3 linked regions of the Cricetulus griseus genome follow. The protein of the gene in region 2 interacts with the protein of the main gene of each other region in a pairwise test. Links are inferred from orthologs where the notes say so. Each region holds a gene or a part of one and is shown on either strand. Other genes may lie near its edges. The genes, in order: Spag8, Pitx1 and Zbtb32.

Region 1 (3,743 bases), on a different chromosome or scaffold from region 2:
GTAACATAGGAACTGAGACCTTAATGTCATTTTGTTTGCTTTTGGGGATAGTGTCTTAGGTATCCCACACTAGCCTAGAGTTTCCTATGTAGCTAAGAATGGCAAGTTCCTGATCCTCCTGCCTCCCCATCCCAGGTGCTGCTGGCATTACAGATTTCTGGGTCCTTTTACCTGTACAATGCTAGATTTCTTTAGGCACATTTACAGGAACCAATTGCACTCCTAAATCCTTAATAGTAATTACTGTGTGTTCTATAACCAAGCTCACTCACCAGCATCTGGCCCACCCATTGCTACTCAGGCACTGAAATCCAGGGACTTTCCCTAAGGGGAACCATTAATAGCTTCTTAGAAGAATGAAGTTAGAAACACTCTTAGAGCCCAGCTTCTTCTAGTCCCAGATAAGTACATGGGAAATTACTGCCAGCTCTCTCCCTTGGGTTCACCCGGAAGGTCCGGGGAAATGCAGGTGTGACTGACGGGGGTGAAGTGGCCAAGGCCCAGAAAGCAGCTCCTGGAGGGGCAGCGCCAACCATCTTCTCCCGGATTTTGGACCGAAGCCTCCCAGCTGACATTCTATATGAAGACCAGCAGGTGAAATCCCCATAGGGTCTAACCCTCCTGAGAATTTCATAGGTGCCTTTGGGTCTGATGAAGTAACAGTGATCTCTCATCTGTCACTGCCCCCAGTGTCTAGTGTTCCGTGATGTGGCCCCTCAGGCTCCTGTGCATTTTCTGGTCATTCCTAAGAAGCCCATTCCTCGAATTAGCCAGGCTGAAGAAGAAGACCAGCAGGTGGGGAGAACAGGGCCAGAGGCCTGTCTGGGGGGAGCCCTGGATTAAGCTATGAAAGGAGCCACCTCTGTCCCTCTCCTCCCCCTGTAGCTTCTAGGACACTTACTCCTTGTGGCCAAGAAGATAGCAAAGGCTGAGGGTCTGAAAGATGGGTATCGGCTTGGTGAGTGATTTTTGTCCTTTGGTCTGCTCACCTATGAATCCCTGTTTCTCAGTGTGATCTTTAGTCTTTGACCTCTCCCGGTATACTGATCCCTAACCTCAAGCTCATTTCAGTGGTCAATGATGGGAAGATGGGCGCACAGTCCGTGTATCACCTGCATATTCACGTACTTGGAGGCCGACAGCTGCAGTGGCCGCCTGGCTAACCTGCCAGGTGACCTGGGACCACAGACCTGGATGTGTGGGTGGAGAAAGGGAAAAGAAATCCTATGGCATTAATAAACTTATTCCCCCTCAGTTTTGCATTCCTGTCTGAAATATGTAACAGATTTATACTACAAAGGTGAAAGAAAATTGATTCGGGACTATGATCTCTCTGACCATGGTCAGAATAAAAGATCATATGACCTAGTCGGGGCTTAAAGGAGTGCATAGGGCAGATCTGCTAGTTTCTAATGGTCCATTCTAGGTCAGACCTCTAGGGGGGAACTAGTAGAAATTGGTCTGGATGACAGGACAGAGATCTATCTACCATATTCCCTTTCCTTTTGCTGTTACCTCTTATCTATGTGTGCTGAGGATGGAACCCAGGACCTTGGACACACTGGACAACCACTCCTACCACTGGCTGCATTCTTAGACCCCACTTCATGTATTTTTTATCCTTAGACTGTAAAAGAAAAAAAAAAAAAAAAAAAAAAAAAAAGGCTGCTCTCCAACTTAGGGAATGAACCAAGTGAACAGGAGTTCATACTGATGAACTGTGCGTGTCTCCAATGCATCCCCATAAGTCACCCTTAGTCACAACGAATCAAGTTGGGCATGAAGCCTAGGGTTCAGACTAGTGGAACCCTGAAAGTCCAGGTGAGGCAGAATGGAGCTGAGACTTGGAGATCACCAAATCTAAGACTTCGCCCCTGGAGTGTTTATCTCCTGTCATACCCTCCATCTCGCTCCGCCCAGCTCTAGTTGTGCGCAGTCTCTTGGATTTATTTGCCGTCTCCATGGCAACCCGGTAGCTGGAGTCTGAAAATGGAGTCTACCGAGGAGTCTCCAGCGCGGTAAGGAGCCTTGGACAGGGGAACAAGGAAGGTCAACGGACTAATTTCGCAGCGATTTTGACATCCTTGACGTATGTGTTTCTTTCAGATCTTTAGAAGTACTGCCCAGCTCCGAAGGACTAGAGAGCACTTCAGAACCCGTTTTTTCTTCGAGTGGCAGTCCTAGGCCTGGCCTAAGGGGCGTAACTGCCCCAGATAGATTATATGCAGGGGCTCATAAGCCGTGTTCTGTGCCACCAGAGCACTCTTATGACAGTCTTTTCGAGGCTCCCTGCCCTAAATCCTATCAGACAGGCCACGGGAGCTTTGGCTATCAACCCCTCTATATTTCTTACATACCTCGGAATGTCTGGGCCACAGACCGCACAGACCGCAGTTCATCCCCTGTGCCTGGCTCTTCTTATCCTTGCGGTAGCTCTGGTCACAGCTCTGGTCCTGCCTTGGCCTCAGGCTCGGGCTCAGGCTCAGGCCCTGGCTCTGGCTCGGGTTCGAGTTCTACATATAGACCTGCCCCTGGCCCTGGCCCTGGCCCTGGCCCTGCCCCTGGCCTTGGCCCTGCCCCTGGCCGTGGCCCTGGCCCTGGCCCTTGTCCTGGCCCTGCCCCTGGCCGTGGCCCTGGCCCTGGCCCTTGGCCTTGTCCTGGCCCTGGCCCTGGCCCTGGCCCTGGGCCCTGGCCCTGTGGCCCTGGCCCTGGCCATGGCCCTGGCCCTGGCCCTGCCCCTGGCCATGGCCCTGGCCCTGGCCGTAGCCCTGGCCCTGGCCTGGCCGTGGCCCTGCCCTTGCCCTTGGCCCTGCCCATGCCCCCTGGCCCTGGCCCTGGCCCTGGCCCTGGCCCTGGCCCTGGCCCTGAGCCTGAGCCTGAGCCTGAGCCTGAGCCTGGTCTTGCCTCTGCACCTGGCCCTGCTATCCCTGAACCTAGGCATAAGGTCAGCTCCGCCGTTACTCAAGGGTTCATAAACATCCCACGAGATCTGTTCCCTAATGGTGAAATATGGAATCAGTACCGCAACTATGAGCCATACCAACAACCCTGGTCACCCCTGCAAATCGGAGAACCTGGAGTACGAGGGTCATGGAAACTCCCAGAGGTCGAAAGTAAACCTGAGATTGTCTGTAAAACACTGCCTCGTGGCCAGAGTCTCCTTCACAACTGGGAGGAAGAGGTATGAAGGTTTAGCTTGCTCCCCTTTCCCTGAAGGCCGGCCCCAGTTTCCTAGAGGAGCCAATAGTTTGTGATAGGGGTCAGAATGAGAAGGGAGTTCATAGTCACTGATCTTGTGGTCCACAGAGAGCCACCAACCACCTGGATCAAATCCCAATATTTCAAGATGGTTCTGAGAGTTACTTCTTTCGACACGGACACCAGGGACTGCTGACCATGCAACTTCAATCACCCATGTCGTCTAGCACCGTCCAGAAAGATTCATACGGACCCCCAACAAAAGCCTATCAGCCACTTCGAGGTGTGAAGCATGAGAGATGGGATCAGAAAGAGCCCAGTATGCAGAGGGAAAAAAAAAAAAAAAAAAAGCAGGACTTTCTGGTGGGACTGTGGACGGTTTGGTGGCTCTAAGGGCAAACGGCAAGATGTCCCTTCTCAACTTTGTTGCTGAAGCTGCTTCTTGACCAGATTCCTTTTTTTCCTACAGGGAAGCGTGAAGCTATGCTGGAGATGCTCCTGCACCACCAGATCCGGTGAGAGCCTGGGAAGAGGGAGGGAGGAAG
Region 2 (3,743 bases):
TGGGAGCCCAGAGGGTAAAGTCTTTGCTTGGGGAGGGGCGGCTCTAGAGCTACGATTTCCTAGCACTGTGTAGGGGACTCTAGAAACCAAAGGCTTCCTACACTCTCAGCCCAGGGTCGTGAGATGGCAGTCACCTGGTCTAGCCTGAAGCCCTGGGAAGTCAGAAAACAGGCCCCACGCCGCCCGCTCGCCTGGGCAAAGTTACCCTAGAGGAGGGCAGAGGCTGGCAAGGCCTACCCCTTGGCTGCCAAAAGCCTGATCATAGGAGGTGTAAAACAAAGGCGGAGGTGGAAAAGGTAATGGGCCTTGCTGGGCTCTTGGGGTCTCCAGCCCCACTCACCACGGCCTAGAGCCAACAGAAACGTTTCGTCTGATTAGAAGCCATCATTTCTATCCCAATCCCGGAAAATTGACTGCGGTGCAGACGAAGGCCTGAGAAGCAGCCTTAGGGGAGAGTGTCCAAGCTAATTAGAAGACTGCATCCGGGGGCCCATTAGAGCTCGCAGGCTGCTGTCACTCAACCGGCCCGAGTTCCTGGGAGAAGAGACTGGGGAAGGAGGGGCCGGCGGCCCCTCGAGGACACCGCTGGGAGCTGCGGGAGCCGGGAACCGGCCCTTGGCTCGGCCCCCCGCCTGGTGCTGGCTCGGAGGCGCGGGCTCAGAGCGATCCTGTTCGGCGGGCGAACCTTCACTCATCCTAGGTTGCTCTCGCCAGCGGCTGGCGACTTCGAAGCGGCCCAGACAGGAGTTGACTCTCAGCGAAACAAGTCATTTGGGGCCCCAAGGTGGGCACCAGCCGCGCGGGACTTGCAGGCCAGATGCGTTTCTTTTGTGCGGCCGAGGCAGAAGTCGGTGTGTCACCGGGGAAGGAGGGAGAGGCGCGGTGAGGCCGCGGGGGGGGGTGAGGCGGCGGGAAGGTGGCTGCGAGGGGGAGGGCGCGGCGAGGCCGGGAGGGAGAGGGAGAGAGGGAGGGAGGGCGGCGGAGAGGGCGCGGGCGGGCGGGCGGGCGGGCGGCGGCTCGGGGCTGGATTCCGCCGCGCTCGCTCGCTCGCCGCTCGCTCGCGCCCTCCTCCTTCTCCCCCAGCCCCCCCACCGAGGCCCACCCACCACCCCTGGCGCAGGGACTGCTGGAACCTGGCGGCGCGCGCTGTCGTTTTCAGACAGACTCAGCGGGCTCCGTCCCGAGCCTTAGAAACCGGCCTCGAATCCGGAGCGGGGCCCGGGCCGGCCGGGCGGCTGAGGCCGGAGCGCGTGGCGGAGCACGGAGCCCCACGCCCGGCCCCGCAGCCCCGGGCGGTCGATGGAGCGCGGGCGGCGTCGCTGCTGGCGCGGGCAGCCCTGGGGGGCAGCCGCTTAGGCGCCGCGCTCTTGTCCCCAACAGGTCGCAGCCGGGGCGGCCGGGCGCGCCCAGCCCCGGCCCCTGGAGCGCCCGCTGCGGTCCCCACCTCCATGGACGCCTTCAAGGGAGGCATGAGCCTGGAGAGGCTGCCGGAGGGGCTGCGGCCACCTCCACCGCCGCCGCACGACATGGGGCCCAGCTTTCACCTGGCCCGCGCCGCCGACCCCCGGGAGCCTCTGGAGAACTCGGCCAGCGAGTCGTCCGACACCGATCTGCCAGGTAAGCGCGGCTCCCCGCGGCGCGCACCCAGCGGCTTGGCGCTCGGCCGGGTCCCCCTGCGCCTCGGCATGGGCATGCCGGAGCTTTCTTTTGCCCGGTCTCGACCTGACGGTGAACGCGGAAATTTACACACGCTCTCGCACGCACACGCGAAGCCGCTTCCAAGCAGTCCCCACACGCCAAGCCCAGAGTGGGACTGACAGCCTCTGTGGAACAGGCGCAAATTGCACGCGCGAGGAAAAAACAAAACAAAACAAAAAGTTGAGTTTTCCCTAACTGATCGCTGAGGAGCCGCTGGGGCGCAGGGCAAACAGCAGATGGAGAATGGAGGGGAAAGCGAGACAAAGTGCCCAGAGAGACACAGGCGGGCGACACCTTGACAAACCGGGAGGTGCAGAAGGAGGAGAGGGTCCTAAAGGAGGGGTAGGCGCACAGAGCAGGTTAGAAGACAGGGGTCAGTCAAACGGAGCTCCGGGGGACAGCGAGAGCAAGCCGGCCAGGAGGCGCGGACTGACTCCGGAGGAACCCTGCTGGAGGGTCCCGGCCCACGTGGACGCCCGAGCTCAGAGCCACCAAGGGTCCAGCCAGAGCGGTTCTAGACTGACCCCACAAATTCCGCGCTGCCTTTTTCTTTTCTTTCCTTTCCCTTTTCCTTTCCCTTTTCCTTTCCCTTTCTTTCTCTTTCTCTCTTTCTCTCTTTCTCTCTCTCTCTTCTTCTTTCTTTCTTTCTTTCTTTCTTTCTTTCTTTCTTTCTTTCCTTCTTTCTTTCTTTCACCCAAGAGCTGAGCCTTCGACTGGGCGGCTTCGGCTGTGGCCGTTTCCAGGCCTGTCCTGTCTCAGAGTGGCTGCGAATCCGTTGGGTCCCAACCCCGGGTGGCCGCGGAGCACCCGGCTGCCCGCTGTCCCGGCCCTGGGTGCCTCATTGATTTAGTCTGTTTGTTTCTGTTTTGCATCTCTAAGTGACTTTCCCCAGCCGGTCTGTTTGCTTGGTTAGAAAACAAAGCTTTGCCTGTACTTTTGTTTTCAAAAGTTTTAAGCGTGGTGTTTGTTTAAAATTCAAAAAAGAACATAGTTATACATTGCTTTTTACATCAAATCAGCGGGGTGGTTAACAATTTTAATCGTATGCTTCCTTTGAGACAATTCATTAGGTGTATTTCTTTGGAATTTAAAATACATACATACCGCATGATTCTTGGAGCAAAATTTAAAAGTCAATTCAAAATGGCGCATTTCTCTGAGATTTTTTTTTTCAAAACCCTTTTGTAGCAGTTTTATTTTGTGAATTTAAATAGTATAGCTATAACGTATTTCTCTAGGGTTCGAAAATCTCTACCAGGGTGTTACTGTGAAGGGGTCTAAAACTTATTTGCAATGATGCATGGATTTTTTTTCCCAGAGAAATACCTATGTGACTGGTTTATACACATTTGGCCTTGTATTTAGTTTAGGGGTGTGTTTGCACGAATGGTTTTGACTTCTTGATTTACATTTGCTCTGGTTCTGTCTGCCTAGCTTTGAGGATTTGTGGACCTTTGTGTTTTTAGGTGGAGAGCTATGAGCTTCTCTAGGCTTCTGTTTTGTTTTTTTAATTCCTTTTCTTTATATTTAAATGTTATTGGCTGTGCGCATCTCCTGTAGCTTTAAAGAGACAGAGAGGCACGGTCACTTACACAGAACCTGTCTTATCTAGGCTGCAGTTGGTGGGTTTTCTAGACCTTGGGACCCGAGGCCGTTGTGGCTCTGACACAGCTCGGGCAACAACGTTTCAGCTGCTGCTGGGCTCTTAGCCCACAAATCTACTAGCTTAAGTTGGAAATTTCTGGTACTAGTTCAGAAAAACAGAGATGTTCCGGGAAGATTTACACCCGCAAGAGTCTCCAAACACAGTGTGCTTTTGCTGGTGACAGGAGCAGCCAGGCCGCAGCCAGCGCGGGCTTCAGGAAGCAGGCTCCGCCTAGCCGGGACCCCAGGTCCGGTTGGGGCGTCTGGGCTCTTCTCGGTGGCACACCAGACCTTGAGGTGCCTACTAAGGACCAGCACCCGGCCCGCTCTTTTCCAGTGGGGGACAGTTCCTAGGGTCCCTGGTCGGAGGGAGGGCAGCCACCACTCCCTCCGGCTTCGGT
Region 3 (3,743 bases), on a different chromosome or scaffold from region 2:
CTTGACCCACACAGGTTGCCAGTGTGCCTGTGTGGACAGAGAAGTCAAGATGGCATGACCAGAATCCCTGAATTGAGTCAATACATCCAGGCAAGAAATTGAGAGCTTTGGTGACCCTGAGGTAGCAGTTCTCTCGCCCTGCTTACTGTGTACCCTTACCCAGACTCTTTTGTCTCCCAAGGGCTGAGTTGTTCAGGGCCCTGGGGAAAGGATCCTGCAAGTAGGGTAAAGTAGGGGCCCTGCTAAGGCCTGACTCCTGGAGCCCAGCTGCTGTGCAGAAGCCCTGGATGGAACAATGAGGGGCTTACCTGGAGTGGAGCTAGAGGAGGCCAGCTGATTCTGACTCCAGAGACCTTTGGAGTGGCTCAAGGTCAGTGGGATCCTGGGTGGAGAAGAATTACAGCCTTGGCGAAGCCTGAGAACCTAACCAGCTCTGGCCTCTCTCAAGATCAGAATATTTTGTTGTCTCCTTAACTTAGCAAACGTATGGAGACGTGGTTCCCTCCCACCCATGACTGCTGCCTCTCCTGAGCTAAAGCCCCCCCAGCCTAGATACCTTCCACTAAGCCCTTCACTCACCTCTGGTCTTGAGGCCAGACCTGCCAGGCTGCAGTGACGGGGGTGCTAAGGGAGGAGGGAATGCCATATCTGGGCGGCCACAGGAAGATGCTCCACAGGCCAGGTTGGCCCTCTCCCAACCAAGGGGCCTCAGCCCACCAGGGCCTGGGAATGAGGCTGGTTAGGGGGGAACCTGGTAGGGAAAGGGGACCAGGGCACCCACGAAGACACTCCTCAGAGCCCTCAGGGCTCTCTATACCTTGTATGGCCTCTCCTTGCTTCCTTTCTGCTCCCCTGTGGCCCCCAGGGGCTGAGCTGAGGGCCTCCTCTGCTCTCATCTTCCTAGTTAGCCCTGCCCTCTCAGGGCTCTCTCCGGGTGCTCTGCGCTTGTGTAACGTCTCCTGTTCTTTCCTGTTACTCCTAAAATCCTTCTCTGGGCTCTGTTTCTCTCCAGGACCCCCCGGTCTTCTCTCAGAACTCCTCGTGAGTTCTTCTGACACCTGGTGCCTCTTCAGTCCTCCATGCAGCTCATCTTCGTTCTTGTCCCTTTGAGCTCGCTTGCATGCCTCTTCCAGGGCCTGCACCCCCAAGGCTCTGGCCGCCTCTTCAAGGTTCCCCAGCTCCCCAGGCTGTAGCTCCACGCTCTCTCCATACACAAAGGTTAGCAGCTGAGCAAAGGTAGAAGGGCTGATGCCTTCAACCAGAGCCCACCTGCCCCTGCATCCCAGCCTCGGGCTTGCACCTGCCAGCACCAGGCTGTGGGCAGGGAACTCCAGGCCGCCTACAGTGATCAGGGTATCACACAGTGCTGGCCGAAGCCTAGCCGCTAACTGCACCAACCGATCAGAGCCATAGGGGCTGATCAGCCTTGTGGGGGTCTGGGGCATTGCTCTCGACTAATCTACCAGTTTCAGAGGCTCTGACAGAAAAGCCACAATGGGGGGTCCATGGCAGAAAGGGGAGGGAGAAACCGCATATTCTCAGGCCTGTGGAGGGGAGGGGAGAAAGAGGAGTGACTCTCCAGTCTCAGACTGGAGCTGTCTGTCCTGAATGAGTCATATAAACCAAGTCAAAGGCAAGCTGGGGAAGCAGCGGGAAGAGAATCCATCCACATTGGGTCAGGTTTGGGGCCTAAGGAGCAAGAGCCAGGCAGTTAGCAGAGGTAGCAAGCAGTGGGGTCTAGGACCCGTACAGTTAGCAAACTCGGGTTTAAAGGTTGCTGCTTCCCCGGGCTCTTTTGCAGGGAAGACCCACTGAGCAGCTTGGGCTTTTCCTCACAAAACTTGGCATTTATGAATGAGTAAGATGCCACTTCATGAAAGACCTCAAAAAGCTTGTGGGTCTTCCCACAATGTGAGCCCAGACAGCTGGACAGGTTACGCAGGCAGCCAGGCAGGGAGAGCAGGTGCTAGGCATCACTCCGAGGCTGGAGCTTCTAGCACACAGAGAAGGAATGAGGAAGACTAGAGATTGCCATCCAGCGAGTTGAGAGAGCCACACCAGAGGTTTAGAGAAGGCTCTGGTGCCTGTGGAAGGAGAAAAAGGAAAGGGAAACTGGAGAACAAAATGAGGCTAACGAATGGTTTAGAAAGTGCCCAATAAGTCGAGGGTTGAATCACACACAAGAAAACCATCACAGGCCTCCAGGATACTGGAGACAGACAGATCAAGAAATAGCCCAAGTGTCTTAGCACCTAGCAGGCCTACCCCCGGTGCATGCAGGCCCTCCGTGAGCCGGGGCCCTGTGGGAGGGAGGGAGGGAGGGTTACTACCTGGACACCTTGGGGTGAAGGGTGCCAGCTGGCAGGGACTGCACAGAAATGGTTGGAATGGAGGGGGCTCAGCTCCGGGAGACAACACTCACCTCTGTAGCTGCCTCCTAGCACCGCAGCATGCTCGCATGCTCGCATGCTCGATACTGCTCTTGGGGCTCCTGCCCCCCACCCCAGCTAGCTCCACCCCTGTCCTCAGTCATCCCAAGTATCAGTCTGCCACAGTCCCCCCCAAAGGGGTGTGGCTTTATACCTTCTGTCTCTGCTTGAGACCTGCCAGAGGCTACCCATCTACTTTTAACAACCCAGGCTGCCTCCTCACCTAACTCTGTGATTTGTCAATTCCTTAGAGCCAAAGACATCAACTGTGGCCACAGGTACTTTGGAACAGTCAGAGGCTGAGCCTCATTTGTGCCATTTACTAGTTGAGTCACCTTGGGCAAGTCATCTGTCTGAGCCTCAGTCTCCTCATGCGTCAAATACCACTGGTGTCCTTTGGAGGAGGGGTGAAGACCAAGGGCCATGCATAGGGAAGTAGCCGCCAGTACAGCCTAGCATTCAGCTGCTATTCGGTCTGTCTTAGAGGTGACAGACGTGTGGAGTAGCTGCAGACCATTTCTGCCTGAAGCAGAATGTGAAGCACGGGGGAACTGGGGGCCATGCCTCCTTCCTCTCTCCCTGGCTGGGTACATTGAGCCCCTCTTATTCTGTGAGGTTGACCCTTGTCCTCTGGACCACAGCAAGGGCTGGGGTTGTGTGTGTGTGTGTGTGTGTGACTCAGATCCTCCAAGCAGACTCTGAGGGGGGCAACCCCAGGAAGCCTGTGGTGGTCTTCGAAGAGAAAAATCTCCTTTTCCTGGGCTGATGACAAATGACATTTCTCTGAAATCAAAACCAGGGGCTTCTTTCACTTTCTGCCCAAGGGGTCAAGATCCCTGGAGATTTCCGCCTCTTATCACGCTTTTAGCACCACCGTCTCTTCTCCTCTTCCTGTGTGGCTCACGATGTCCTTGAAATGTCTATCCTGCCTCAGCCAGTGCCACCACACCCATTTCTGACACTCTGTAATTTGAGGAAGGGACAAACCCTTTGAGACTCAGTTTCTTTTTTTTTTCCTTTTTTTCCATTCTATTAATCCGATTCCTAAGCTGATCTTTCCATTCCCTGAGAAGATATCTTGGGATATTTGTGGCATGTGTCTGGTATTCATATAGGTACAATAAACAGCTAAAAGAGAAACTAGGCAGACGTTGGTAGACGCTGTGGTGACAAGATTCAGTCTCGGTCCCCATAGGTTTCTCCCTGGATTCCGGCCCCTCCTAGCCCCAATGGGGTAACATTTGCTTTTCTCCCTTTGGCTCCAGGGCTCCAGGGTATTCAGACCAGACTTCTACTCTCTCCCTCCGGGCCTAG

The links.
Region 1: the proteins of Pitx1 (region 2) and Spag8 interact in binary tests that used the Homo sapiens proteins (3 or more experiments, as listed by UniProt). The link is inferred for Cricetulus griseus from reciprocal best matches to the Homo sapiens genes PITX1 and SPAG8.
Region 3: the proteins of Pitx1 (region 2) and Zbtb32 interact in a two-hybrid assay, tested with the Homo sapiens proteins (2 studies listed by BioGRID). The link is inferred for Cricetulus griseus from reciprocal best matches to the Homo sapiens genes PITX1 and ZBTB32.

The regions. Positions count from the first base shown.
Region 1 is NC_048595.1:99,874,184-99,877,926, forward strand, and holds the start of Spag8 (sperm-associated antigen 8), read left to right. Parts: upstream 1-1,383; 5' UTR 1,384-1,989; coding exon 1,990-2,018; intron 2,019-2,106; coding exon 2,107-2,608; intron 2,609-2,767; coding exon 2,768-3,181; intron 3,182-3,306; coding exon 3,307-3,481; intron 3,482-3,667; coding exon 3,668-3,713; intron 3,714-3,743. Other genes in the region: Hint2 (histidine triad nucleotide-binding protein 2, mitochondrial), read left to right, coding at 454-594, 691-795, 886-958, 1,072-1,163. UniProt on the Homo sapiens protein: Microtubule inner protein (MIP) part of the dynein-decorated doublet microtubules (DMTs) in cilia axoneme, which is required for motile cilia beating.
Region 2 is NC_048596.1:274,818,419-274,822,161, reverse strand, and holds the start of Pitx1 (pituitary homeobox 1), read left to right. Parts: upstream 1-1,448; coding exon 1,449-1,617; intron 1,618-3,743. UniProt on the Homo sapiens protein: Sequence-specific transcription factor that binds gene promoters and activates their transcription. May play a role in the development of anterior structures, and in particular, the brain and facies and in specifying the identity or structure of hindlimb.
Region 3 is NC_048602.1:5,237,955-5,241,697, reverse strand, and holds the start of Zbtb32 (zinc finger and BTB domain-containing protein 32), read right to left. Parts: upstream 2,642-3,743; 5' UTR 2,423-2,641; intron 1,545-2,422; 5' UTR 1,446-1,544; coding exon 580-1,445; intron 383-579; coding exon 309-382; intron 28-308; coding exon 1-27. UniProt on the Homo sapiens protein: DNA-binding protein that binds to the to a 5'-TGTACAGTGT-3' core sequence. May function as a transcriptional transactivator and transcriptional repressor. Probably exerts its repressor effect by preventing GATA3 from binding to DNA.